Mus musculus: one gene and its partners. The protein of the gene in region 6 interacts with the protein of the main gene of each other region in a pairwise test. Links are inferred from orthologs where the notes say so. Each region holds a gene or a part of one and is shown on either strand. Other genes may lie near its edges. The genes, in order: Abi2, Ssc5d, Crct1, Hsf2, Kansl1, Nup62 and Oip5.

The links.
Region 1: the proteins of Nup62 (region 6) and Abi2 interact in binary tests that used the Homo sapiens proteins (3 or more experiments, as listed by UniProt). The link is inferred for Mus musculus from reciprocal best matches to the Homo sapiens genes NUP62 and ABI2.
Region 2: the proteins of Nup62 (region 6) and Ssc5d interact in binary tests that used the Homo sapiens proteins (3 or more experiments, as listed by UniProt). The two-hybrid records come from large-scale screens. The link is inferred for Mus musculus from reciprocal best matches to the Homo sapiens genes NUP62 and SSC5D.
Region 3: the proteins of Nup62 (region 6) and Crct1 interact in binary tests that used the Homo sapiens proteins (3 or more experiments, as listed by UniProt). The two-hybrid records come from large-scale screens. The link is inferred for Mus musculus from reciprocal best matches to the Homo sapiens genes NUP62 and CRCT1.
Region 4: the proteins of Nup62 (region 6) and Hsf2 interact in binary tests that used the Homo sapiens proteins (3 or more experiments, as listed by UniProt). The link is inferred for Mus musculus from reciprocal best matches to the Homo sapiens genes NUP62 and HSF2.
Region 5: the proteins of Nup62 (region 6) and Kansl1 interact in binary tests that used the Homo sapiens proteins (3 or more experiments, as listed by UniProt). The two-hybrid records come from large-scale screens. The link is inferred for Mus musculus from reciprocal best matches to the Homo sapiens genes NUP62 and KANSL1.
Region 7: the proteins of Nup62 (region 6) and Oip5 interact in binary tests that used the Homo sapiens proteins (3 or more experiments, as listed by UniProt). The two-hybrid records come from large-scale screens. The link is inferred for Mus musculus from reciprocal best matches to the Homo sapiens genes NUP62 and OIP5.

Annotation. Positions count from the first base shown.
Region 1 is NC_000067.6:60,408,119-60,412,418, forward strand, and holds the start of Abi2 (abl interactor 2), read left to right. Parts: upstream 1-1,500; 5' UTR 1,501-1,684; coding exon 1,685-1,801; intron 1,802-4,300. UniProt on the Homo sapiens protein: Regulator of actin cytoskeleton dynamics underlying cell motility and adhesion. Functions as a component of the WAVE complex, which activates actin nucleating machinery Arp2/3 to drive lamellipodia formation.
Region 2 is NC_000073.6:4,932,321-4,935,820, reverse strand, and holds part of Ssc5d (soluble scavenger receptor cysteine-rich domain-containing protein SSC5D precursor), read right to left. Parts: intron 2,687-3,500; coding exon 2,369-2,686; intron 1-2,368.
Region 3 is NC_000069.6:93,013,705-93,016,880, forward strand, and holds Crct1 (cysteine-rich C-terminal protein 1), read right to left. Parts: upstream 1,983-3,176; 5' UTR 1,912-1,982; intron 1,147-1,911; 5' UTR 1,125-1,146; coding exon 816-1,124; 3' UTR 501-815; downstream 1-500.
Region 4 is NC_000076.6:57,484,885-57,489,184, reverse strand, and holds the start of Hsf2 (heat shock factor protein 2), read right to left. Parts: upstream 2,801-4,300; 5' UTR 2,677-2,800; coding exon 2,584-2,676; intron 2,458-2,583; exon of another isoform or gene 1-2,457. UniProt on the Homo sapiens protein: DNA-binding protein that specifically binds heat shock promoter elements (HSE) and activates transcription. In higher eukaryotes, HSF is unable to bind to the HSE unless the cells are heat shocked.
Region 5 is NC_000077.6:104,439,521-104,443,501, forward strand, and holds the start of Kansl1 (KAT8 regulatory NSL complex subunit 1), read right to left. Parts: upstream 2,801-3,981; 5' UTR 2,205-2,800; intron 1-2,204. UniProt on the Homo sapiens protein: Non-catalytic component of the NSL histone acetyltransferase complex, a multiprotein complex that mediates histone H4 acetylation at 'Lys-5'- and 'Lys-8' (H4K5ac and H4K8ac) at transcription start sites and promotes transcription initiation.
Region 6 is NC_000073.6:44,814,744-44,818,887, reverse strand, and holds the start of Nup62 (nuclear pore glycoprotein p62), read right to left. Parts: upstream 2,801-4,144; 5' UTR 2,405-2,800; exon of another isoform or gene 2,230-2,404; intron 1-2,229. Other genes in the region: Atf5 (cyclic AMP-dependent transcription factor ATF-5), read left to right, coding at 3,722-3,899. UniProt on the Homo sapiens protein: Essential component of the nuclear pore complex. The N-terminal is probably involved in nucleocytoplasmic transport.
Region 7 is NC_000068.7:119,609,032-119,612,268, forward strand, and holds the end of Oip5 (protein Mis18-beta), read right to left. Parts: intron 2,825-3,237; coding exon 2,721-2,824; intron 1,334-2,720; coding exon 1,288-1,333; 3' UTR 501-1,287; downstream 1-500. UniProt on the Homo sapiens protein: Required for recruitment of CENPA to centromeres and normal chromosome segregation during mitosis.

The DNA of each region.
Region 1 (4,300 bases), on a different chromosome or scaffold from region 6:
CCATCTCTCCAGACCCATCAACACAGTTTTTTGATTTACTGGTTTGTATAAGAGTCTGATCTGATGTTTGTTTTCTTCACCTGTTTGTACCTCATTTCCTGAAACAAGTGCATGTGTCTATACATAACTATCCCCCTCCACACACTTTAGGCTTCTCTTCTTTTTCCACACATAGTTAAACTCAGCTACAAACCCCAGCTCTCCCTTTTGTTTTTAACAAGCTTCTCACACTTAGAACATTCACACTAAGACAGGTGTTTAAAGTGCTGAACAATAGATCCAGGTGGACCACATCATCATTTAAAAATACTGTTTTAGGCTCTGCGGCAAAAGCTCACGCATATTGGTAATGTATTTATCATAAAGCCAACGTAACAACACAGGGTTTACTCCACAAATATGTGAGCGAGTGCATTTGATTTTTTTCTAGGAATGTATAATCGTTCCCTCATCATCTGAAATTTGATCACAGGAGGCCAAGTGACAGCAAGAGCAATAAAAGTTGAAACCACAAATCCTAAACTCTAAACCCCTCTAAGATGGTGGGTGCCCTTTGGGTTTCCACAGAACTAACAAAGATTGTGGTCTTGATATCACAGAAGGTGTCAGTTTTATTTATTTTTTTCAAGTTTCACGGTGTGGGCCAATCATATTTATGAAAAAAGATTAGATATCTGGATAACAAGACCAGGATGAACGTCCTTGAATTTGTAGTACTTAATCTGAAAAAAACGCACGTTTGTCATTGTTCGTTTAATCTTATTCATGCTACAACCATGTGAATAAATAAAATAGTACCAGCAAAACCACCATCGAAATTTTAAAAAAAGTGAAGTGAGGAGGAGGCCCAGGCTGGGCAACCACAGCATGTGGCTGTAATTCCAGTCAGCCCGGTCTATACAGGAGACCATGCCAAGAAGAAAGAGAGGACAGGACAGGGGACGGAAGGGAGTGAATGAATGAATGAATGAATGAACGAACGAATAGGTTTGGGACTAGGTAACTGCAATTTGTAAAGAAGCCGATGAGGTTCAAGGTGGTATTTAGAGCTGCCTGGAAGTTCAGTGGCTCTGCCTGTTCGGATGAGGTGTTATCTTTCACAGAGCTTGTGAAGACACTGTGTCCTCTCCCTAGGCGAGCTTCCTCAGGCAGATGACCTCCGCAGGGTTCCGGCCCCGGGTGAAGTGCAGAGGTGAAGATGGGGGGCGGCGGCGTGAAGCAGCAGGGAGCAGAGGTGCATTCCCGCCCGGCTAACAAAGGCTGCTGAGGACTCCCAGACCCAGGAAGGCCGCGCGGGGCCGAAGGGTTAACCCAGAGCCCCGCTCCCGCGCGCATCCCGGCCCCCGCCCTCCCGTCGCTAGGAGACGCCGGAAGTGGGGGAGGGGCGGCGCGGGTGGGAATCTTTTTCGGGCGCTGGGGGCGGGTGGAGGGGAGCGCGCGTGCGCGCGCCCGTCGCCGCGGTGACCGTCCTCGCGGCCCGTCGGCTCGCGCCCCGCCTCCATTCCCCTCCGCCCCCTCCCTCGTCGCGCGCCGTAGGGTGTGTGTGGGGGGGTAGCCGCTCGCTCCTCCCGATTCCCGCCGCGTCCGCCGCTGCTCCTCCTCTCCCGGGCGTCGCGGCCGCTGCCTCTGCGGGCTGTATGAGGAGGAGTAGGAGGAGGAGGAGGAGGAAGAGAAGGATGTGAAGATGGCGGAGCTGCAGATGCTGCTGGAAGAGGAAATCCCGGGGGGCCGCCGGGCTCTCTTCGACAGCTACACGAATCTGGAGCGGGTGGCCGACTACTGCGAGAATAACTACATCCAGGTGCGATGCGACGCGGCCCCTCGCGCGGCTCGGCGCGGCAGGACGCGGGCTGTGAGGGGCGCGCGGGGCGATGGCGAGCGGGGGAGGCCGCGCGGTGCTCGGTCCAGGGAGCCGCGCCGGGGTAGGGACAGGGCGAGGGCGGCGGCTGCAGGGAGCGAGGGTCGCCACCAGGCCCCAGCAGCCCCGTGCGAGTGACCGGTGCGGTGCCGTGCGGTGCGTGGCGTCCCGCCCCCTCGCCTCTGCCCCGTCGCCCCCGCAGTCCTCTCCTGTCAGTGTTCCGGATGGCGGGGGAGGTGGCGAGTGGCGTTTTCTGTCTAACGGGATCTTGCTCGATGGCAGGCTTGTGTGACAGAGGGATAGGTTACCCCCTGCCCAAATTCCGAGGGACCCCCTTTTTATTAAGGGGTCCTTTTTCTGCAAAGTGAAATGCCTCACTTCTCCATTCCTGCGAATGTACCCTGAAGACAAAACAAAAATTCTTAACCCTTAAGTTTAAACATTTTTAAAATGTAAAAGGGGCATGGTGGAACGGCTGTCTCTTATTGCAAGTTAATACCATTTTTTTTTTCTCCTCCCTGTGGAGAATGGGAAACTGATAATGAGCTGCCTTTCCTTCTCAGGTCTCGTTAGAATAGGTAATTTTCCTTTGGGGAAAAAAGAACTATGACTATTTTCACAAAGAATTAGGGAAACGAACCACATGGTTTAGTTTTTTTCCCATGATGATTGGTTTGGCCCAGGGACTTCAGTGTATGTGTGTGTAGGAAGGTGAGAAGTGTGTGTGGGGCGGGGCATTGGTGAGATGAGAACCAGCTGGTCATGGGATAAATGTAAAAATTTTGTGAAGCAACACTTTAAAAATTAACTCATGGTATGCAAATCCAGTATCTCTTGTTTTCCGTAGGGCTTATACTGAATTACAGGTTGTGTCTACATTTTTTTTACTCCCGTTTAAATTCTTTGGATAAAATGGAATGGAAGCGTGATGCTTAAACTGTTAGCTGTATTTTAATGTTCTTGTCCCTACTCCCGTCCCTGCAGATATCCTTAACAGCAGTTGTATTGAAAACATTCTCAAATCTGAGTATGAATTGGAAAAAAAAAAAAAACCCCAAAAAACCAAAACAAAAAAACCCAGATGCTGCAATTTATAGGATCTTAAGTTTTTTGAGGACCACATTGTTAGTCAAAGACAATGTGCTTAGATTTTATTTGGTTATACACACACTGAACTCTACTATTATGTTGTAAACATTTGTATTGAGAATGAATCAGACATAATTGAATCTTCTCCCCTAAAAAGAAGTGGTGGAAAGTGTGTGTTCAGTAGGAAGAGTGTGTGTGTCTTTGGTCAAAGATTGATCAAAATTCCCCACAAATGTCTGTCAGATACTTTACAAATACAGAGCTATGTAGGAAGCATTCAAAGGTTTTACTGCAGGCTGGAGAGATGGCTCAATGGTTTAGAGCACTGACTGCTCTTCCAGAGGTCCTGAGTTAAGTTTCCAGCAACCACATGGTGGCTCACAACCATCTGTAATGGGATCTGATGCCCTCTTCTGGTGTGTCTGAAGACAGCTACAGTGTACTCATATACATAAAATACATCTTAATCAAAACAAAACAAAGATTTTTATTGCTTATCCTGAACTCTTCTGGGGTTTATAATATAGTTCAAGAGACCGATCTGTGAGCAAATTAAATAGCAATACCATGTACCATCAGCCCTTCTTGTGGGAGGAGGAAATAGTCTTCCTTCTTCTTGTCATTCCCAAACAGTGTAACAACTACTTAACGTGCCATGTACATTTTATTATATAGTATAAATAATGTACAGATTTGAACTCTAGGGGAGGATGTGTGATAGATTGAATGTAAATTTTATGCCATTTTATGTAAAGGACTTCAGTATCCAAGGATGGGGTTGGAGTGGGGATTGGGGTGGGGTGGGAGTGTGTCCTAGAACTAATTCCTATTGGATACTGTGCGACGAGCTAAGTATAGTTAATTTATACTTTGTAGGGAATTGTGGGTAGAAAGGTGATGCTTATTTTCAGGGCGTCACAGCTGCTTGGAGAGGCAAAACCTAAAAGACCCAAAGTGCTAATTGTGTTCCCTTGTGTAACATAGTATGGGAAAGTCTTATCTGTCAGAAGAGAAATTGGGGAGTGGAAAAGTGATTAGATTGCAATTGCAGCCAGCTAATAAGAAAAAGGTTTTTGAAAGATGAATGTTACCATAATTTGAGATTATAATTGCCACATAAAGGGAAAGTACATGAATTGATAAAGTGGAGAGGTGAAAGAGATCACATTGTCTTAAAATTTATAATTCTAGCCTACAGAGTATCAAAGTTGGTGTGTTATTTATACTTATACTTATTCTTTTTTTTTTTTTTTTTTTTTTTGAGACAGGGTTTCTCTGTGTAGCCTGGGCTGTCCTGGAACTCACTTTGTAGACCAGGCTGTCCTCCAAGTGCTGGGATTAAAGGCACCACCA
Region 2 (3,500 bases), about 40 Mb from region 6:
TGGAGTGTCTGAAGACAGCTACAGTGTACTTACATATAATAAATAAATCTAAAAAAACAAAAAATAAAATAAAATAAAATAAAATAAAAACTAAATAAAGGCAATCTATACTAAGTGTGCTTGCCCCCTGAGCATTGCGAGCATGTCTACAGTGCATTGTTCCCTAATTATCTCTCTCACCCCTACCTGCCTCTCTCCCCTCTTCATAACCTTGGGTTTTTGTCATGCGATCCATCAGAGGTCATCTGCGTTACCGGTGGATTAAAACTGTCATTAAGAGCCTGGTACAACAGTTAAAGCTACTTTGAGATCCCATCTCATCCCAGTCAGAAAAACTATCATCAAGGAAACAAATGACAGCCAATAGGAAACAGAGTCCTCCTTCACGCTTAGTGGGAGTGTCTAGTGGTGTAGCCACTCTGGGAAACTAGCGTGCAGATTCCACAAAAAGCTGGGGCTAGGGGCTGGAGGGACAGCCCAGCAGGGAAGAGTGCCATACACACAAATGCATGTACATGGTTAAAAATAATAAAGTCAATTTTTTTTAAAGTCAAGGAATAGGGAAATGCAGGATAGCTACTCCACTCCTAGGCACACACCCTAAGACAGTGGTTCTCAACCTTCCTAACACTTCCACCTTTTAATGCAGCTCCTCTAGTTTTGGTAAACCCCAACCATAAAAGTATTTTTTGTTGTTACTTCATAACTGTAATATTACTACTGTTATGAATCATTATATAACTAGCTGATTATTCCAGGACTTAAGTGACCTCTGTGAAAGGCTCCTTCAACCCCTAAAGGGGTCACAACCCATGAGCTGAAAACTGCTGCCTTAAGGGCTTCATCTCTTAGCAATGTATCAGCTGCTTATGTTTTTACTCTGAGACGGGAGCAAAGCTGTCCAGGCAGGCCTTGAACTTGTGATCCTCTTACACCATCTCAAGTAACTAGGATTATAGGTCTGCCCCACCATGCCTACACACACACACACACACACACACACACACACACACACACACACACACACACTAAAGATTTACTTCTATTTGATGTATTTCCCCTTCATGAATGTCTGTGCTCTATGTGGGTTCAGTGCCTGCAGTGGCCAGAAGAGGGCATCAGATTCCCTACCCACCAAGTAGAGTTAGAGAGCTGCCATGTGGGTGCTGGGACTCAAACCTGGGTCCTCTTCAAAATCAGCCAGCACTTTAAACCACTTAGCCCCTGATTGTTTTCCCATGACAAGGACTCTATAGCTCAGGATAGCCTTAAATTCGTAAGAATCCTCCTGCCTCAGCCTTCCAAGTGCTGGTACCACAGGCTTGCTCTATCACCACTGCCTTTTCTTTCATATTCAGTACCCTCAAGAGTGGCATGAAGCCTACAAGCCAGTCCCCTGCTCCCCGTCCTCCGGTGGCTCCCAGAGGAGACAGAGGCACTATCCTGATGACTCACTCTATCCTTTGAGTCACCAATATCCACACTCTGTCTCTCTGGTTAGGCCACCTAGGCAGTCAAGGACGAATCATGCCCAAGACAAGCTTGGGGGCTTTGCCCTGGCTCTAGGAAGATGACCTCTAAGCCCTTGGAATGTTCTTGCCTGGTAAGAAACTCTTTATATGTTTAGGGGAGGCAGTTTGCACCATGTTAAGTCCACACTGACAATGTGATTTCTGAACAGCCCTGAACGTGGTCAATCAAGCCCCTACCAATAAGCAAACAAACAAACAATCAATCCCCATAGACATCAAGACTAGCACATCTGGCTCTTCTCTCATGTTGTCACACACATGTTGCTGGGCTAATCCAGCACCGTTTATACCCCTCCCACACACACCAGGACTTCACACCTAAACTCCATTCCACATGTGTTTGCTTTCCCTTGGCTGAACTTAATCTGCATCTTCAGTATATTGAAATACAACCCCCCCCACCCCCCACCACCCCCCACCTCTCTCATTTCTGGGAGTCCTTTAGCAACAGAAGGAATGTCAGTGCGGTTTCAGAGACCTCCCAAACACTGCTGGTTTGCAAGAGCTTGTCTGTGTTCCCCTTGCTCTCCATGAGGCGTGAGCTCCTCAAAGACCTGTACTATGTTCATTCTGTTCTGAGCAGCCAGCTCCTAGCTCAGTATCTAGCTGTGGAGCTGGAAAGCAACCCCTATAAATGGGGGGATGCACTGCCAGAGTTCATGTGAATTAGCCCTCACTTTGGCTACACATAGGCAATTTGAATGAGGTTATATGAGCTAAATACCCACTACAGAGCTGGAGCTTGCAGTACTCAGTCAAGTTAACACCACCTTTAGCCTCCACTGCTTCCACTTAGAAGCCCTCCTAGAGCCAGTGGGTGGCTAGTGCATCCTCACCAGTGCAGGTAACCCCGACATCCTCATTGTGGGCGCAATTGTGTTTCCCCCAGGAAGCAGCAGGGCATTCTGACAGTGAAGCCTCCGTCCCCATACAACCTACGTCATCCAGCCAGATGGGGCCTGCACCCCAGCCAAAGCGGCCTGCTGCGGGGTCTGGTTGCCGAGGCCTCCCACAGCCCAGCTCCCGGCAGACCACAGCTGAGTCTCTCATGTCCCAGCTGTCATCACATACTGTCCCCCAGCGTCCGTCATGCCATACCTCCAGCCGGCCAGAGCACCTGCTGGGTCCAGCCACCAGGCGCAACTGGGGGGACCCTGGAATAGGAAAAAAAAAAAAAGAAGAAGAAGAAGAAGAAGCAAGAGTCAGGGTCAAAGAGCCCAGCTAGCACTCTGAGCCTTCATCTACCTGCCTTCTGCCTTCCTTTCTAAATGCCCATCAGCTCCCTCAGCTCTGCTTCTCCTCATAACCCTTCAGCTCAGGTAGCAGGCACTGATCGAGATCTCTCCTGCACTGGACACAGAGCCAAGCAGAGCTGGCTGGCTCCTCAGAAAGCTAATGTAGAATTACCATATGATATAGAAATCCCACTCCTAGGGATACACCCAAAATACATTGAAAGGGGGCTGGCGAGATGGCTCAGTGGGTGAAGGCGCCTGCCCTCAAGCCTGACACCAGAAGTCTGACCTGTGGGACATCTACATGGCAGAAAAAGAGTTCTCCCACTATGTGTACTGTGGCATGTGTGCACACATGCATGCACGGAGAGAAACGTGATTTTAAGAACTTGAATGTATCTGTTAACATTTAATCATTTCATTATTATTAGAAATTCTGACTAGAGACATGCCTGCTCCTGACAGTACCCTCTTCATGGTTCAAAGAAGAAATTGAGCATCAACACCTCCACATGGAGTTGCTCCAGTAATGGCAAGGTAACCACTAAGCAAAAACTGCCCTATTCATCTGCAGACAAAATACTGTCCAAAGAGGACAAACAGATGTGGGCTAGTCAACTGCTAAGCTCTGCCAAGGCAGGGTAAGCTAGCCCCTCATATTCCTGCTTTATTTCAAGGTCTGTCAGATGGTTCTGGGCCAGAAAGCGGAAGACAGATGCTCTGACATCTGTTA
Region 3 (3,176 bases), on a different chromosome or scaffold from region 6:
AAGGATAGGGAAGGGGGGGGGGAGAAGTAGAAAAGAAGGGAGGAAAAGAAAAGAGGAACGAAGAGAAAACATTCAACAGAACTGAATTCAAATTCCTAAACTTGCCATTTCAAACCAGACTCCCTCGGTTGTCTGGGCCTGGGGACTGGGCAAGGCTTGCTCTAGGAGGAACTCCGAGTTTCCAAATCACTTCGAGTAGACCAAGCTAAGCACACCAATTAACAAAATGATCTCCGGAATCTTGCAGTCATCTCCATCTTGCAGGCATAGAAGTGACTCTGAGCTTAACGTTAGTTTCCCTTCTGTAAAATGGACGCAGCAGCAGCCACCACAGTGAGTCATTACACAAAGTAGATGAGACTGCCTACCCCAAATCCTGAGAACTCGCAGAGAGTTAATGTGTTTGTTCTCCTTCAGGCATGAGCCTTTGAGGGGTAGGTAGTATAAAATAAGAAAACTGAAGGCACGGATGGAGGAATAAATAGGAAAAGAAGCGTTCATAGGAGGTAGAAGCTTTATTATTATGTCTCCAGGCGACAATCAAATCAGGAGGCCTGTTTTGAACACTGCTGTGCACAACCTCCTGCCCATAGCGTGATCTGAAGTCCCACCCCTGACTTGTATCCCCTGGGAGGAAAATCAACGTTAGAGGACAGGTCTAAGAACAGGGTGAAGTTTCTGAACATCAAAGTGCAGTTAGCTTAAGGGAAACCAAACTCCTAGGCCGGTCCTTCCTGTTACTACTATGGAGGACTGGGTGAGAGCAGCAAAGACGCTGTGCGATGCCAGCTGTTCCGGAGAAGCTCTGTAGGCTTTCAGCAGCCACCGGAGCAGCAGCCTGAACTCTGATTGTTGCAGGAGCGTTGAGACCTTTGGCTTCCTCCGCAGCAGCAGCCGCAGCCGCCAGAGCGCTGTCGGCGGCGTCTCCTGGGAAAGCAGCAGCAGCCGGTGGAACTGGAGCCGCAGCAGCCAGAGTCACCACCGCAGCCGCCCCCGCAGCCCCTGCAGCAGCCTCCGCCACAGCAAGAGGAGGAGGAGGACGCGGGGGCAGGAGTCGGGGCGGGGCAGGGGGCGGAACTCTGGGAAGACCCTTTGGAAAAGCCTTTGGCGCCCTGTTGAGACATCTCGGCGTTTGTCAAGATGAATCTGAAAGAAAGACAATCTTTTTTAAAACCCCGCCTTTTCTTCCCTATAGTGGAACACAGAACTTTAAGTATTTGCCTTAGAGAAAAGTCTGTCTGGCTTTGGGACAAGAGGAATAAAAGAAAGAAAGAAAAAGAAGGGAAACAAAGAAACAAACTCAAACAGGAGCTTCCAGTGGTGGAGGCACAAAGCAGGAAACAGAATTTGAAAAGGATCAGTGCAGTCTCCCTGACTGACATTAGGACCATCCAAGAGCTCCATGATGGAAAATAAAGAGCATACGGCTGCAATTTATCTATATGACTCAATCAAAAATCTCTTGGCTTCAGCCTTTTCCTAACTGTACTTTGACCACGCAGCTCTTTCAAGTGGTAATCTCAGTTAATATCGTATAAGCATCACATCGGTCAGAAAACACACAAGTATTACCTGTGTCCCTCTGTCTTGGGTATAGAGAATTCGAAAACACAAAAGCGTGCTCTGCACCTTCTTTCTTGCCTGTCCTTCACATTATAAGGAAAAGGCAGAGAATAGGAATAACTTAACCAGGGAACCTAAAGACCCGGGTTACTCAAAGCTCTTTACAGTCTGGAAAACCTTTCAAAGGTCAGCGCCATGCCAAGCCTTTGCATCTTCATAGGCAACACAAAAGGCTGGCTCACTGGAAGCCAGATTCCAACAGCTACATTCTGGCTGCATCCTACTTCCTCCTTTCTGTCTTCCATTCTCCCCAGCTTCCTCCCCCAGACACCCCGCTTAGATACTTACTAGACCTTGGCTCCACAGGAAGACTCACTCAGTTCTCCAACTGGAACTTGACACCTGCTAGGCAGAAGACTGAACAGTGTATGGCCAGAGAAGCTTTTATAAGATTCCAACAAGTCCAGGTCCTTGGGAGGAGCCCATTTCTCAACAGACATGCTCAGCTGACACTTACATCCCAGAAGCATTCATCACTCAGATAGCACTGTAGGTGGTGCACGTGGACAACCAAGTCACTTCACAGAGGTGCCAGGATTGCTGTGGTGTGTTTACTTTTCAAACCGGATACTGTTCATAGCTGGGAGGGCTGTATGTGCTTAGAGAAGGCCTGGGGGGGGGGGGTCAAATGAGGAGAGGTCCGGGGTTCTCTCTTAAACACTGTATACACACACACAGCAGGAGGGGAGGAGAACACCTGCACTGTTCTACTTTCTCACACTTATTCATGTATAGCTATCTCCTTATCATTTATTGTCTTATTTGCATCTCTATGGCCCTTGGTTCTTGTCTTTCATAGCAGGCTGCAGGCTATGTGATGAACCCTCTGGCTTTTATCCAGATGCTTCTAGAGAGCACTGAAGGAAGATGATGGTGGGGATGGAAATCACAACGGTGGTTTCTTCCTGTCACCATTAACAGGAAGAATAGCCCAGGCAAGGTTAAGGGACCAATAAGACCAAAAGAAGTCACTTGACCATATTCCCATTATGTAACCCTGATGGATCGCAGACAAAAATGGTTGAGGAGTATAGGCCTATTGGAAAATAGTAAGCTGGTTAGCCTATGGAGCTCCTGTTTCTGATATCATCTCCTTAAGGATAGATTGTCCCTAGAACTACTGACAAATAGGAAAAAGACAAAATAAAACAAAACAAAATGAAAAGGATAAAATAAAAGAGCAAAGAAGAAAAAGGAGGAAAATAAAAGGGGGAACGGCCTGAAAGTTCCCATAGTAATTGTTGCGTTTCGATTAGCTGATTTATAAAACTGGAGGAAACTTTGGAGGTCAACTGCCTCTGATTCAATCATTGGAACTACCTGGTCACACCAACCATGAGTATGAGACATAAGAGAATCTAAGATTAAGAATTCAGGGATTAAGAGTGAGATAGGTTTTGGGGTGCATTGCTGGGTGTGGCATGAGGAAACAGACAAGGAAAGACAAGTCATAGAAGATACCCATTTCATTTACCATGGCTTTAGAGCCTGATTAACAGGTTGCTTACTGAACCAGAGCACCTGGCAAGAAGAGGTAAGACATTCCAAGAAGA
Region 4 (4,300 bases), on a different chromosome or scaffold from region 6:
AGGAAAAGTGAACTTATACAGAGCTGTAGGACCATTAAGTCAAGCTTTCCAGAATACAGGTGAAAAGGTTTCTTTCAAAAGAAATCTTTATCCTCAAACTAAAGGAGTATATGATTGTCTATCACTGTAGAGGATAGGGGATGCATAAAAGTTTGCTTAGTCCTCAAGAGCTTCTGCTTTTAAAAGGCCTTAAAGTAATAGCCACTGAGCCAATTGTAAATCCTAAAATCACCTCTACAACTCAATACAAATGTAAAGGAAGCTAGGCACACAAACAAACTTTTAGAAGAGCACAGCAAGGCTGTATGTAGGGAAGGCTTAGCAGTTAAGAGAGAGTTTACTGCTCAGAGAGTTCCCCAGTTTGGTTCCTACCACTCATGTGGGTAGGCTCAAAACAGTCCAAAGTCCAAGACTTGGAAGTCTGGCTCCCTCTTCTGCCTTCATTCAAATATGCAATATGCACACACAGACAAGGCCATGGTTAAAAATGAAATCTTTTAAAAAAGATAACAACAACAAAAAAGACTTATTTTGGCTTTCCATCAACATTAGCTTAAAGTTGTACCTTTCAGTACTGGCATTCCAAATAGTATCCCATCTGGGGTGTCCAACCTTTGACAATACATTACTCTGTCATTTACAAAAGTTTTGGGCCACATTCATATCTATCTCAGAACACCTGTTTCTCCATTCCAATCAAACCCATTACATTGTAAATGTAATAGTTTCAGTGACACAAACATTAAAGCACCAACTGTATCTCTAGAACCAATACCCCACTGAGTTTAATTACACGTTGACTGTCCTATTGGTGTATTAGAAATGGGCAATTAAAAATATAAACTGAGACTTAATACGGTAATTAAAAGCCATTAAGTAGCTTGTTTCATTTACAATTAAGAATTCACACGTATGCACTAGTTTAAATTCTCCACAGTCCTTACCGATCAAAAAAGGCAAGAAAGTTATTAAAATGTTTTGGCTAATTGAAGTTATCAGGTCACTTATACAATACTGTTTAATTAGAACCAATTGCCAATACATTTGTGTAGAACTTATAGACAATACAAATAAATGGCCTTTTGCAAATTCACGTTCAATGACCTCAGCTTGGTTGGGGGAAAGAAATTATTTCAGTCCAGTTTCTAATGTTAAAAGACAGCTGAGGAGCGGTCTGCACTGATCCGGTCTCGTCAACCTTTAATCCTTCTGCCTGATGAAAAGCATGAGCCGTCTGTTTATTTTAAGTTCATGCTGGTTAGCTGCCTTTCTTTATTTTCACTTCTTTGTACCAATGTATCAAATTAATCAATTGCTTAGTCTACACAACCAGCAGGGGTTGGGGGTGGGGCACCTATGTGACAATACACACGAAAATTAAATCCTAGAAAGAAATTTTTAAAACTTGGCACTAATACTCAGCAAAAATTCAGTGACATAGTTGTCCAAATATCAGGTATATTCTATTGCTGTTACCTCCTAAAAGCAGGCAAGGGTGAAAACTAGTTTTAACAACAGAAAAGGGCACAAATGAAACGGAGGAGATAACATTTATTTGACATATAGCTAGGTATTTCCCACTTACTCATCTCAAAAACTGTGAACATGAAAATACCCTGAATAAGTCATCAACTCCAGTAAGAGGAGCCGATCCCCTTCATGAAGAGATTTGAACAATCCAAGCATTGCGAGTCTAGCAAAGGAAAGGCACAAGTGATGTAAAGAATCACTCTGCAAAGAATCTTTGTGTGGAACTGGGGGGAGGGGGTCTTGGGTCACCTAGGCAACGCATCAATCTAACACATAACTTAGACCAGGCAAGATACCGGGCTTGATTAAGGTCATCTTTATTTATAAGGAGGATCTGGATCAAACTGATCAAGGCAACCACAAACCACTATGCCGGCAACTATTCTGTGAAATTTAACGACTCGGTTTTTAACTCCAAGCCGCTAAGTTACTAAGCATAGTCTACAGGCACTTTTACTTGAATTATTTTAAAGAAACGACCCAGTCTCAAAACAATAACTGGGAAATTTCTATGTTAAAACTACATAAATAAAATACATAAATAAAATTTAAAAGCTCAAGGCAAGAGCAGTCGGAGTCTGCACATTTTCCCATTATCATCATAAAAGATCCCAGACGCCAGGGCAAGCAATCCCCGCGGAGGTGATTTCTTTAGATAAGACCTGTGCTCGCTCACTAGCCCGCTCGCCCGCTCTCCCGGGGCTCCGCGACCTCCGCGCCCCGCGGCGAGCAGACGACTGAGGATGAGTGTGCAGAACGCGCCGCCGGGGCCGGTTCCGAGCTCCCCGGGCCGGCGGGACCGTTACCAGGGCGCCCCTCCCCCACGGCGCGCGGCCGGAGGAGAACGGAGCCTGCGGGGCCCGGCTCGCCGCGCACACAAAGCCGGGGGTCCGCGCGAGGTGGGGAGGCCGCGCGCCGCCGCAGGCCGCGGGAGAAGCCGAGCCCAGCCCAGCCCAGCCCAACCCAGCCCAGCCGAGCCGAGCCGAAACGAGCCGAGCCGAGCCGAGCCGGTTCGACAAGGGGGACCCGAGGCCACCGCGTCCCCGACCCTACCTGACTCCAGGTGATGAACTCGTTGGTGTGGGTTTCCTCCACAAGCGTCCACAGCTTGCTGAGGAAAGCCGGCACGTTGGAACTCTGCTTCATTGTTAGCCCGGTGCAGGGATTCCAAATTCTACTACCGAACGCGGAGGTCGCAGCGGCGGCGGCGGCGGCGGCGGCGGCAGCAGCGGCGGTGGCAGCAGCTGCTGCTCCGGGGAACGCACACCACGCAGGCGCGGCGGATCTCGGGCTCCGCCCCCTCGGCGCCGCGGGGCGCGCGGTGAAGGCGGAGAGACCCCGCGGCCGCACGTGATGGACAAGGCTTCGCGCTCCACCCCTGCGCTCTACTCCCGCGCCCGGTCTCAGCGAGTCCAATCCAAGGCTTCGGATGCACTACAGAGCAAAGCGATTGGCTGCTGCCGCGAGGAGGGGTGGGCCCAAGAGTGGTTCAGCCTTCTCTGTTACCTTTTAGGCAGGGTACTCTCTTAGGGAATGATATTGGGTCCAGGGAAACCTTGTTTAGTGGATTCGCATGGAAAGGGTTTGGGTGCACCGGCTGTGGCTGGCAGAGTGCAGAGAAGCCCAAGGGCAGTTGACTCATAAGTTTGACCGGCGAAGAGTAATTTGCTCCAATCTAAAGGAAGGAATACATCACATGGGGCAGTGAGCTGCTTGTGAGCAGATGTGCTAGGCCCCTGGTTGAAACTATCTTAAAGACAATGAGCTTTTCTATACATTTTTCATGGGGAGAAAAATAGCTCATTTAAGGACAGTTTTATCAAAACCTGAAGCATGAATAATAGTTCCCTATTTGTGAAGTACTTGCTATTGTGTGTGTGTGTGTGTGTGTGTGTGTGTGTGTGTGTGTGTACTATTAGGAGCCAGCATCTGTTAAGAGCATCTTATATGCTTTTCTCAACTCAGCAAGCATCAGGTGCCTGTCATAAGCCCAGTTCAAAAGCAACGAGTCTAGTTTTAGAGTATCTGAGTCAAAATGATTGTTCTGCATGTACCTCACAGGGGTTTCCTCAGGCAAAATGTGATTCGGAACAGCTTCTTGAGCGAAATTTCCCATTTCTTCATTGACAATAAGACTTTCTACCCGTGAAGAGTAGCTATAATAACGTGGATCTCTGAAAAAAAGATTTTTTAAAAAACTTTTTTTGTTGTTGTTTTGTTTTGTTTGTTACTTAATAGCTGATCATAGTGTCTGGAATCTGTAAGTCAAGCACTCTGGAGGCTGAGGTAGAACTGTGGAGCAGTGGAGGTCAACCTGGGTTAAATAGTGAGCTCCAGGTATCCTGGGCTAATGGCAAGAAATATAGATAGATAGATAGATAGATAGATAGATAGATAGATAGATAGACAGACAGACAACTTTTTCAGTAAGCATATACTGAACACAGTCATACAGCACTGTTTGGATATATGATGGGGATATATGATGGGGTAACTGTGATTTTAAAAAAAAAGACTAATATTTGATGAGGTCTTATGTGACAAGGGCTTTGCATGTCTTATCCTATTTAATCCTCACAGCAACCCAAAGAGGAAGCTTCAAAGGGTCTGATTCAGGTTGGTACAAATTCTATTCAACCAGTTACACAAAGCTAATCAGAACCAACTCTGTAGCCAGATTCCCAGAGTGGGTTAGCTAGAAGTTTCCAAGCACATTCCAATGCGATGATGGGTTGCTTTACCTCAGTTTGGGAATATTTTCAGTCCCAGA
Region 5 (3,981 bases), on a different chromosome or scaffold from region 6:
AAACCTCCAATTTATCTCAAAATCTGCATAGAACTGATGACTTTTGTGTACAGAAACAAATCATCACATACACTTAATTAAATAACTACCTTCATCAGAATAAAGATTTTAAGAATCTATGTGATTGTTAATGGTTCCAAGTAGATCACACTTCAAAAATAATGTCAAACCACCTCAAGTTCTGAGGTCACTAACAAATCAAATCAAATATTCTAAAGGTCAAAAGAACTGTACACTTGGTTGGCTAAACCTAGTGGAAATCTAATTCAGGATTCCATGACTAAGGGTCGTTACCAAATAGTTACAATACATTGTTTAAATTTCCAAAGGATGAGCATTTTTACCTCGCAATATTTTTAGAGCAACACATCACACTGCACCTATCACATGACATGATGTAACTGTTAGCAAAGAAAATGGCCCAAGCCATTGATAACATACATCAGGAGAAAACAGATCAATCATACTCAAGAATTACATTTTATATTTACTTTTTGAAGCTAGTAACTTACCTAGAAAAAGAAAAAAATGTACTTTAGCATTTTATAGTTAATATTTACAAGAAGTTATAACAACCAAGTAAGAAGATTGGAAAACTAGAATTAAAAACTTCTCTATCAAAAATGCAACAAAGAAACACATCAAAAGTATCCACTGTCAGAAGAAAAAAAAAAAAAAGTCTCAACTGACAACAGCTGCAGTTAATTGAAAATTTCTAAATTGGTAGGAGAATAAGACAAGAAACCAAGTACAGCCCATAGAAGAGAGGAAAGGGAAACACGCCCACTTTATGCTTTTGTAAATACTGGTACTTCAAATGACCTTAAAAACAAAAACAAAAAAGGGAGGTGGGGTGGGAAATATAAACTGCAGACCAGTCTAAGAAACAGAAATCATTTTAATATAACGATTTTCCTACTTGATTGAAAGTACTTTTGAGAAGAAGTTCTGTAACTATATCATGATTATGCAAGGCAAGGATTATGTAATTTTATCGTTTATTTTAAAATGTTCTCCGAATGTATTAAAAAAAAAAAACCCTAGAGCATTGTGATCTCTCTAATGGGCAGAGGGACACTTACTTGGCTACAGCTTAAAATATTAACATACACCCCCCCAAACAAACAAACAAAACCCCACAATGATTGCTAGCCACGTGACGAAGGATATGGCAACACCAGGATTGTGAATGGAGGGGAGGAAAGCTAGGTTGGAGGACTAGCGAGATTTCTCTTAACTTTGGGGACTGCAGGATTCGGGTTTCTCAATCTTTAAGGTACCAAATTCTAACCCCTAAGAGTTGTACAGCTAACACCCTCAAGTGCGGTTTTATTAATAGGTCACGGAAAATGCTCCAGTGACCTCCAGGATAAAGGAGGAAAAAACAGGCGGAGGAAAGAGCAATTTAAAGTGGCGCCATCATGTCACCCCTTTTCCCCTAAGGCAATCAATAAGCAATAGTTAAGTAACGAGTTTCTCTAAAAATCCACATTGGGATTCCAACATTGGAAAACAAAAGGATTTCTAGGTAAAACATGGGAGTAAGATTGTTTACAATACGGAAAACAATTATAAACTATTTGCTGAGAATCAAAGGCCGTCAGTCCGAAAACAGGCCCCCCCAAAAGCAGTAAGATTCCAACTCACTTAAAAGCAAATAAATGCCTCTTCCTCTTTAGTTGAAAAAAAGGGCTGCCTGAGACTAGATCCGAAAACGCAAATGACCTCAATATTTAAGCAACAAAAAATGTTAACAATCAGAGTTGTGATACAAACCGTGAGACAGACATGCAAGATGTGTTTGAGCAAAGAAAGACCTTTTGCAGTCAAGAGAAGTTCAAGGCGAGAGCAAGAGTTTGTTTTTGGTCTTTTTGTTTTTGCTTTTTTTTTTTTTTTTTTTCGGAAATAAACCAGGTTCTCCAGGCCGCCTTTTTAAATAGAACGCCAAAGGAAAGCCCAGCGAACGAGGCGGCAGCTGGTGGGGAAGGGCCCCCGCACACCCCCGCCCTTGGGGCGACTCCCAGCCCGGACCCGCAGCGGGGAAGCCCGGAGAGGCCATTTAAAGTTCCGGGGATTTTTCTTCCCCTGCCCAGCCTTTCTAGTTACAACTAACAAAGAGAGGGAGAAATGGGAACCACAGGGAGAGCGAGGAGAAGGAGAAAGGGCAGCGGGAGGAGGAGGAAAGGAGCAGCAGCAGCACCTACCACGTGATGGAGGAGCGTAGCCCGGGCGGATTCGGCCCCACAAAATGGGCGCAGTTTGCAAACAGCCCCCCGGCCTGGGCGCCGAGGACCAGCGGGCGGGGGCGCGCGGCTGCTGCTCCGGCCCGGCCCGCCGCTCTCCTCCCCCCCGGCGCCCGGAGCCGCCCTGACTTTCCGGGCGGGGGGGCGAGGCGGAGGGGGAGGGGAAGGCGGCGGCGGCGGGGAGCGGCTGCTTTTTCTTCTCTTTCGGGCCCTTTCTCCGGCCTTCCTCCGTTCCGACCCGGCCTGGGCACGGCGGGGACCGCAGCCCCGGGCGGGCGGGGGCAGAGGGTAAAGCTGCCCCCCCCGCCCCGCACAAACAAGCGCCGCCGTCTGCAGCCCGCGCCCGCACCCCGGCCGCCACCCCGGGAGCTTCTTCCCGGCCGGGGAGCGCACTTCGGCCGCCCCCCAAGCCGCCGCGGCGAGACGAGTCGGCTTCGCTACGGCGCTTGGTTCTCCCGCCGGCTCAGCGAGCGGTGGCGGTGGCGGCGGCGGCACTGGGAAAATGGCGGCCGAGCTCCTTTTCCCTCCCCCCCTTTAATCTGAAGCGGAGGGAGAATGGAGCGAGCAAGCGAGCGGGCGAGTGCCGGGGACACGGGGAGGAGGGACAGCAGCGCCTCCGCCGGCTGCGGCTGCGGCGGGCCGCTCCGCCCCGGCGCGCCGCCAGGGGGCGCCCGCCTCGCCGCCCCCGCGGGCTGCCAGGAGGCGCGGCCGCCGCCGCCTCAGTCATGGCTCCTAGCCGCGGCCGCTGCTTCTGCGCCTCTGTTTGCGGAAACCGGTGCCTGGTGCCTGATACGTGCGGCAGCGACACGCGGCACTGCGGCAAGCGACGCGGGGCCCTCGCTTCGATCGAGGTGAGGCTAACCTGAGGCGCTGATGCCGTCACATTCCCTCGGCTCTGTGGCTGGCGGTGCTGCGCGCCGGTTTGAGGGGAGGGCGGACTGACACAGCAGAGCTAGAGGACGTGAGCGAAGAACTGTGTGTGCAGTGAATGAAGAAGCTGCTGCGGCCACACTACCCCAGGGCCAACCGTGCTCTGAGACGGGCAGGAAGCTCCCTGACCAGTGACGCGGTCCCTGCCACCCGCCCTTTGTCCTACACCCTGCTCTGTACACTGCAGCACACGGCTGGCTGCTAGCCCTAGCGCCACGCTCTGCAGCCGCCAAACCAAAAAATAAGCGGACGCCATTGCGCAGGCGCGAGCTAGGACCGACTCGGGGCTAGCCCGGGCAGGGGCAGCTGGGAGCTAGAGGGGAAATGATGGCCCACCAGCGCCGGGCCCGCTGGGAACTGTAGTTTTCGTTAAGCCCGCGTGTTGTTTTAGGCTTCTTGATTTGTCAGATCCGCCAAAATAGGCAAAAACGCATTCATTACACAGTAATTTTTTTGTTTCCTGCTACTACCAAATTAAAGTTCACAGACCCGCTAAAAGTTTAACAATGAACAACAAAAGCAAACCTGTCATGTTCTTACCAGCGTTGACTTAAAAGTAGTGGCACCTAATTACTCTTGACTCTAGTTTGTCAGCACGATATCGGTTCCTTCCTCCCAAATAAGGTTTAATATCAGAGAACATTTTCTGGACTTAGAAAACTTAATATAACGCAAAGTGACACATTACACAGTACAAATCCACCACCCTTTAAAGCTAACCATGTCCAAAGATTATTAGGACTCACCAAAATCAAATAGCATAAAACTTGTTCCAACAACTAAATCACCAAGCTCAGCAGATGAGAAG
Region 6 (4,144 bases):
CTCAGGGTGGCAGGCCTCCAGGGATGATCACAACTCCCATAAAGTGACGGCTGTGCACATGCTGGGGAGGGCATGGCAGCTAAATGTGAAAACCAGCTCTTGAGTTAAGGTGGATCTGAGGGCGGGGGAAGCATCTGGGTAGGACCTCAGGAAAGAAAAAAGAAGTACCATGGGGAAGACTATGGGCTGGTACCCCCACTCTGCACTGTCTTTGAAACCTTTCGATTATTCCAAAAGTTTACTTTAAAATACCAAACTCAAGGAAAGGAGCACCACCGGCACAGCAACATGGCACAATGTTTCAAATAAAAACCAGCACCTGTGGGGCCCAGGGATGCAGCTCAGGTGGTAGAATGTCCATTTAGCATGCAGTTCATGAAGCTCTGGGTCCATCCCATTTCTGTATTCGTAGCAGACTCCACATGGACTTAACAAAGCCCATAGCTGGCAAGGGAGGGCTGGAGTCTAAACACATCAAATCACGCCTGTGCTCAAACACTGGCAGAAGATAAGAATTCACACTCTGATGGCTCAGTGTTACAGAGCACTGACTGCTTTTCCAGAGCAACCACATGGTGGCTCACAACCATCTGCAATGGAATCTGATGCCCTCTTCTGGTGTGTCTGAAGAGAACCTGTGTACTTACATAAATAAAATCTAAAAAAAAAAAAAGAGTGCCCATTCCAAGGGGAATTATCTCAAGGACTTGTAACTTTCAAAATCAGTATTCCCCACCTGCTCTGAATCTTTTACAGTACCAGGGATGGACACCAGAGTCTGGAAAGCAGTATTCTGGCCAACACTCTGCCACCAACCTCCAACCCCAGCCCATTACATATTTTTTTAAAATCAGGATCTTTGTTAAGTTCTCTAGACAGCCAAGAACTCACTTTCTAGTCAAGGCAAGCCTTGAGCTTTTTTCCTCCCCTTACTCAGTATGTAGACCTGTCACTACAGGTGGTGGAGGTCAGAGGACAACCGTCTAGAGTTGCTTTTGTCCTTCTACCAAGTGGGTCCTGAGGATGGAACTCAGGAGGGTTGAGTTTAGAGATCACCACCAGAGCCATCTCAAAGCAGCTCCAGCCCTGACCTTGACTTTCAATACTCCTGTCTTAGCCTCCTAAGTAGGTGAGATATCAAGCCTGGCCTCTGGACTTTTTCTTTTTAAAACACATTGAGGCCAGTCAGTATGACCCTGAACTCATGATTTCTTTTCTCCCATCTCCCAAATCCTGAGAATACAGGCAAGTCAAGCCCAATCCATGTGGTGCTTGGACAGAGACTAAGGTTCTGGTGTTAAAAACAGACGAGCATTCTTGAGCTCTATCTCCAACCATTCAGTCTCTCAGCTGCTACAAATATGACACACTGACTGACTTTCACATGGAATGCCAGCCATGTACATGAACATGGGGTAGAAAACAGGGTTCACGCATCATCCCCGGTGAAGGACAAGAGGGACTCTTTTACTAAATGGAATATAAATGTCCTATTTTGGACAGGATCAAGAAATAATTATCTAGTGGGGTCAGCAAGAGAGCAAGGACTGCAAGAAAGTCAGAGCAAGGGCAAAACCTTAGAGGTCGGCAGGGATGGCTGGAAACAGAAACCTTGGAGGTGGGACACACAGAACGATCATATGGCTAAGAATCTGGGGTAGGGAGAGTAAAAGAGGTGAAGTCAGGGTTTTTTTCTAAAAGAAAATACAATGACTGAGCAGTGGGTAAAGGCTGCCAAATAGTTTGACCCGAGTTCCGTCCCTGGGACTCACATGGTCAGAGAACCAACTCCTGCTAGCTCTCCTCTGACCACCACAATAAATGTTAAAACAAAACAAACAAAAATATGTTGAAGAGTCTCGTGGTTAGGACTTCGTGGCCTACTTTCCATAGCTGATATATCTGTGCGCGTATACAGCGCTCTACAAGTACTTGGGAAGCGTTATCTCGCGGTTGCTGCCTGGAACTCCTCTATGAAGCCTAAGCTAGCTTGCGCCATTCGGCGATGGGCTTAACCCACGAGGTCTCGGGTGGCAAATTCGTGAAGCAGGGAGAGAGAACGAGACGAGCTGGTTTCGGGTGTGAAAGACACATCGGATCTGACCGATTCAGGAGACCGAGCCCGGGCCCCCAGCCTGAAGCAGAGAGTGGAGGGTCAGGGCGACATGGCGGGCCCGGGGTCGCCACCGCCCCGTCGGGGCCGCGCGAGGGCGGGGCGCGGAGGGATCCAGGCAAGCCCGCGCTGCGCCGCCCCCGGTATATTTGTCCCCAGGCCCCGGGGCCGCCTCATTTTCAACCCTCTCAGCACAGTCTCCCTTAACGCTCCCGCCACGCCGCCTCCGCCCGCGCAATGGCTCTGTAGCCGCGACCCCGTCGTGTCCCCCGCCCCCGTCTCCGCGCTCACCGCGCCTTCACTCTCCGCTCACACCGTCTCTTCAGCCGAGGCCGCCGCCGCCGTTGCCTCCTCGCCTTTTCGCCGCCATGGAGTGAGTAACCGCTCGCCCCTCCCTCGCCAACTGCCTTTCCCGCCCTTTCAGAGCTCGCGGGGCTTCACGGGTCAGCCTCGTGGTGGGGGCGGGGGAGACGAAGTGAGGAACCACGGTCGCGCAGGCGCAGAAGAGGGAAGCTGGCGGCCGGCGCATCCGCTGAGCAAGCGCACTAGGCTCGAGTTGCGAGGGGCGGGGAGGAGGAGGGCGTGCTTCCGGAGAATTTGGGGGCTTTTAAGGTCGGCTCGCGCGCCGTTGCGCCTGCGCGCTAATTCACAGACCCTCTGCCCCTTTTCCTCCAAGGAGACAACCCCACAACCTGTTGCGCATGCGCATTGTCTTATTCCCCCACCCCCCCACCCCTCCACCCCCGGCCTGAACTACGGCGGGCGGCCGGTCATTGGCTAAACACGCGCACTGGTCCCCCAGGAGGGTAGTGGCGTAACAATGGATCGGGTCCTGGGACTGAGCTTGCGCCTCGTCGCTAGTCGAGCCAGCAGCGAGGAAGGGTGGGGTTTTGCTTGAGGCTCCGACTCAGGCCCAACTTCCCTCCAATCAGACACCTGCTGGGGCGGGGACTGGCTTAAACTGACAGGAAAGGCTTTAGGAACACCTTTAAGAAAGAGTTAGCACTAGCACTACAGGGGCGGGGCCTCTAGGGACTTGCTAGTGGGGGACGGGAACTGACTGTGACAGACAGAAGGGTGGGCGGAGCTTCCCGTAGAATCTTTAGAAGTCACCAAAATTTTTAAGGGAAGAGCGGGATCTGTGTGTGTGACACTGATGAAGGGCCCAGGCATGCAGAATTATTCTGGGAACCCCTGTGGATTAAAGGGGGTATAGTCTAATGATGCGGAAGGGGCACGGCTAGAAGGAAATTCCCTTGGGATTGAAATTTTTATGAAGAGGAATAAGATGAGGTGGGTAGGAGGGACTAGAGGTAATTCCCCTGGGAAAACACTAGGTTTCTGTGTTGAGGGAGGAGATGGGGCAGGGGAGTTTCCAATAATGTCCCTGGGAATGTGTGGAGCGCTGAAATTTTCGGAAAGAAGGAAACTGTGTAGCCTGTGGGTCAAGCCGCTTTGACTCAATCCCACCCACGTCCCCTTGTCCTCACAGGTCCTCCACCTTCGCCTTGGTGCCTGTCTTCACCCAGCTGAACAATCTTCCACGCTGCCTCCCAATTGTTGGTGCAGCCTCCATTGCCGTCGCTGCCCTGTGCCTGTGTCACAGCCATGTCACTCCTGGCGACCCTGGGACTGGAGCTGGACAGGGCCCTGCTCCCAGCTAGCGGGCTGGGCTGGCTCGTAGACTATGGGAAACTCCCCCTGGCCCCTGCCCCCCTGGGCCCCTATGAGGTCCTTGGGGGTGCCCTGGAGGGCGGGCTTCCAGGGGGGGGAGAGCCCCTGGCAGGTAAGAACAGGTTAAGAAGAGAGGTGGGTTGAGCTGGGGGTGGGGGTGGACAGAAAAGGAAGAATTTATTCCTTCACAAGATCAGTACTGAGGGCCTGCAGTGTGCCCAACACTGTTCTAGGTCTGCAGGGTTCCGAGCAAGGGATCCCTAAGCTCATGGGTGCATCAGGAGACAGAAGTGGGAGACCAAAGCTTAGTGGACAGTGATGAAAGACATAGTTGAGAAGTCAGCCCCTCTAAGTAGA
Region 7 (3,237 bases), on a different chromosome or scaffold from region 6:
AGATGGTTCAGCAGGTTAAGTACACTTACTGCTATTTCAGAGAACTAGGGTTCAGTTTCCAACACCCTAACTACCTATAATTCCAGTTCCAGGGGATCTGACAGCCTCTGCAGGCCCAACAGCAGTGTGGTGCACATCTTTAATCTCAAAATCTAGGAGGCAAAGGTAGGTGGATCTCTATTCAAGATCAGCTTGGTCCACATAACATGTTTTAAAATGGAGATTACACAGTGAGACCCTGTCTTAAAACAGTAGCAAGGGATGGAGAGATGGCTTAGCAGTTAACAGCACTGACTGTTCTTCCAAAGGTCCTGAGTGCAATTCCCAGCAACCACATGGTGGCTCACAACCATCTGTAATGGGATTCGATGCCCTCTTCTGGTATGTCTGAAGACAGTTGCAGTATACTAATGTAAATAAAGTAAGTAAATTAAAAAAAAAAAAACCAGCAAAAGATACAAATTCTTTTTTTTTTTTTAAGATTGATTTATTTATTATATGTAAGTACACTGTAGCTGTTTCCAGATACTCTAGAAGAGGGCATCAGATTTCCTTAGGGATGGTTGTGAGCCACCATGTGGTTGCTGGGACCCAAACTCGGGACCTTCGGAAGAGCAGTTGGTGCTCCCAACCACTGAGCCATCTCGCTGGCCCCTGAATTCTTTATTGTACAATGTATTCTATTTATTAACTGTTACTTATTACATACATATATATATATATGTACATATATATATATATACATACATACATTTGCTGTTGCTGCTGTTTTGTTCAGACAGGGTTTCTCTGTGTAGACTTGTCTGTCCTAGAACTCACTCTGTAGATCAGGCTGGTCATGAACTGATCTATCTGCCCACTTCTGCCTCCAGAGTGTTGGGATTAAAGGCATGCACCACCAGCATCCAATGTACACATCTATTTTACATAAGCAAAGATGATTTCTCTGTGACATTCTTTAATTCTAGCAGAGAAGCAGAGGCATGTGGATCTCTGTAAGTTTAAGGCTACCCTGGTCTATATAGAAAGTTCCAGGACGGCCAAAGCTATATAGAAAGACCCTATCTCAAAACAAAGGAACAAGTATTTATCAGTTTTCATAAAACTGGCATGTCAGAGTACAATCACTATTACCTCCATCGCTTTATCCTGGCCAACTTCATTTTTTCAACAGTGGACACAAGGGACACTGCATGCTAATTAATTATTAGTAGTGAAATACATTTTCAGAAATAGGCATTATGGAGTAAATGTACTAAAATAAATTTAAAGTAATAGAGTCACATGTTACAGGATCTTTGGTGATGCTGTTAACCCCAAGATGTGTTGTTTCCTAAAAAACAAACAAACAAACAAACAAAAACTAAAAAAACTAAACTTTATAGTTGTGGTGTAGCTCAGCCCTTACCATGCATACATATGCGTACACACACCTTTAATCCCTCTGGCTGGAGCACAGCATACAGATACGCCCTTACTTAGTATACATCTTTAATCCCAAATAATGAAGGTAAAGTTAGTTTATAGAAGGAAGCACCCATGTTTGAAAGTGATGTCTGATTGAGCAGCAGACAAACTGACAAATCAGAGAAAGACTTGACAGAATAGAATATGCCCAACTAATGAGAGAGAGAGGAAAGGAAGCTACTGAAGGGGCAGTGCAGAGAGAGAAAAGAAAAGATGTAGTTTTACCAGGAGAGTTTTACAGAGACAGACTGAAGAAAGAAAAGCTAAACACAGGTAAAGACAGAAGGAGCCAGAAAATGAGAACATATTGGCAAAGTTAGTACGAGGTCAAGCAGAGTAATTCAGAAGCGAGAGAAGCCAGACTGAATAGTCAGCATGGTGAGATGTTTGAGCCAAAAAGCTGACTAGAGTTCAGAAAGAGCTAGAAAGGGTGAGTTTATGAGTTTATTCAGCAGTAGGTCTCAGAGGCTAAAAACATTCTAGATCTCGGTAAGATTGTACAGAGTCTAGAAGCTTCCAGGATTAAGCCTTAGTTAGCAGATGGAGGCACCAAGCCTTGGAGAAGACAGTTACATCAGGCAAATAAGGTATTAGCCACAGCTTATTATGAAAAAGAAAAACACTCCCCAAAGCAGGAATGGGCTGATGAGCTGAGGAAAGGCATAGGCTCAAAGGCATATTCTCAAACAATTGTTTCTGGGAGGAGTACATGTGAGACAGGGTCTTATGAAATTTAGGGTGGCCTCAAATTCATAACACAGCTAAGGATTGCCTTAAACATGTGACCTTCCTTCTTGTATTTCAAGTGCTGAGATCACAGTTATGTGTCACCAGTCCTCAGTTCTTAGTAATATTTAAAAAAATAAAAGACCAAGCCGGGCAGTGGTGGTGCATGTCTTTAATCCCAGCACTTGGGAGGCAGAGGCAGGTGGATTTCTGAGTCAGGTGGATTTCTGAGTTCCAGCCAGCCTGGTCCACATAGTGAGTTCCAGGACAGCCAGGGCTATACAGAGAAACCCTGTCTCAAAAAACAAAAAACCAAAAAAAAAAAAAAAAGCCTATAGTAAAGGAAAGGATGGATATAGCCTAGTTCTAAAACAACATCCCATGCCGCCTTCTGGCCTCCACGGGCAACGGCACACATGTTACAGACAGACAGACACACACAGAGACAGAGAAAGGAAAGAGACCTTAAGAAAAAAAGAAGAAATGACCAAAGCACCCCAGTTGTTGAAGAAAATTCTGTACTCTACCTTGCTTGTTGGTTTTCTTGCTTAAACTGATGAGGAGACTTTCCCTTCAGAAGCCCCGTCAGTGAGTTTAGACGAGTATGCATTAGCATTATCTTCTCTTTCAGCTGGGAGAGACATAGATTGGAGACATCTTATACTCACCCCTTGATTTGCTGCTTATATTGTTACTAGACTTAAAATAAAAATAAGTCTAGCTGAGCAGTGGTGGCTCACGCCTTTAATCCCAGCACTTGGGAGGCAGAGGCAGGCGGATTTCTGAGTTCCAGGCCAGCCTGGTCCACAAAGTGAGTTCCAGGACAGCCAGGGCTACACAGGGAAACCCTGTCTCAAAAAACCAAAAATAAATAAATAAATAAATAAATCTACGAACAAAACAAAACACACTTAAAAATTGCCTATAGTTCGGGAGGCAGAGGTAGGCAGATTTCTGAGTTCGAGGCCAGCCTGGTCTACAAAGTGAGTTCCAGGACAGCCAGGGCTACACAGAGAAACCCTGTCTCAAACAAACAAACAAACA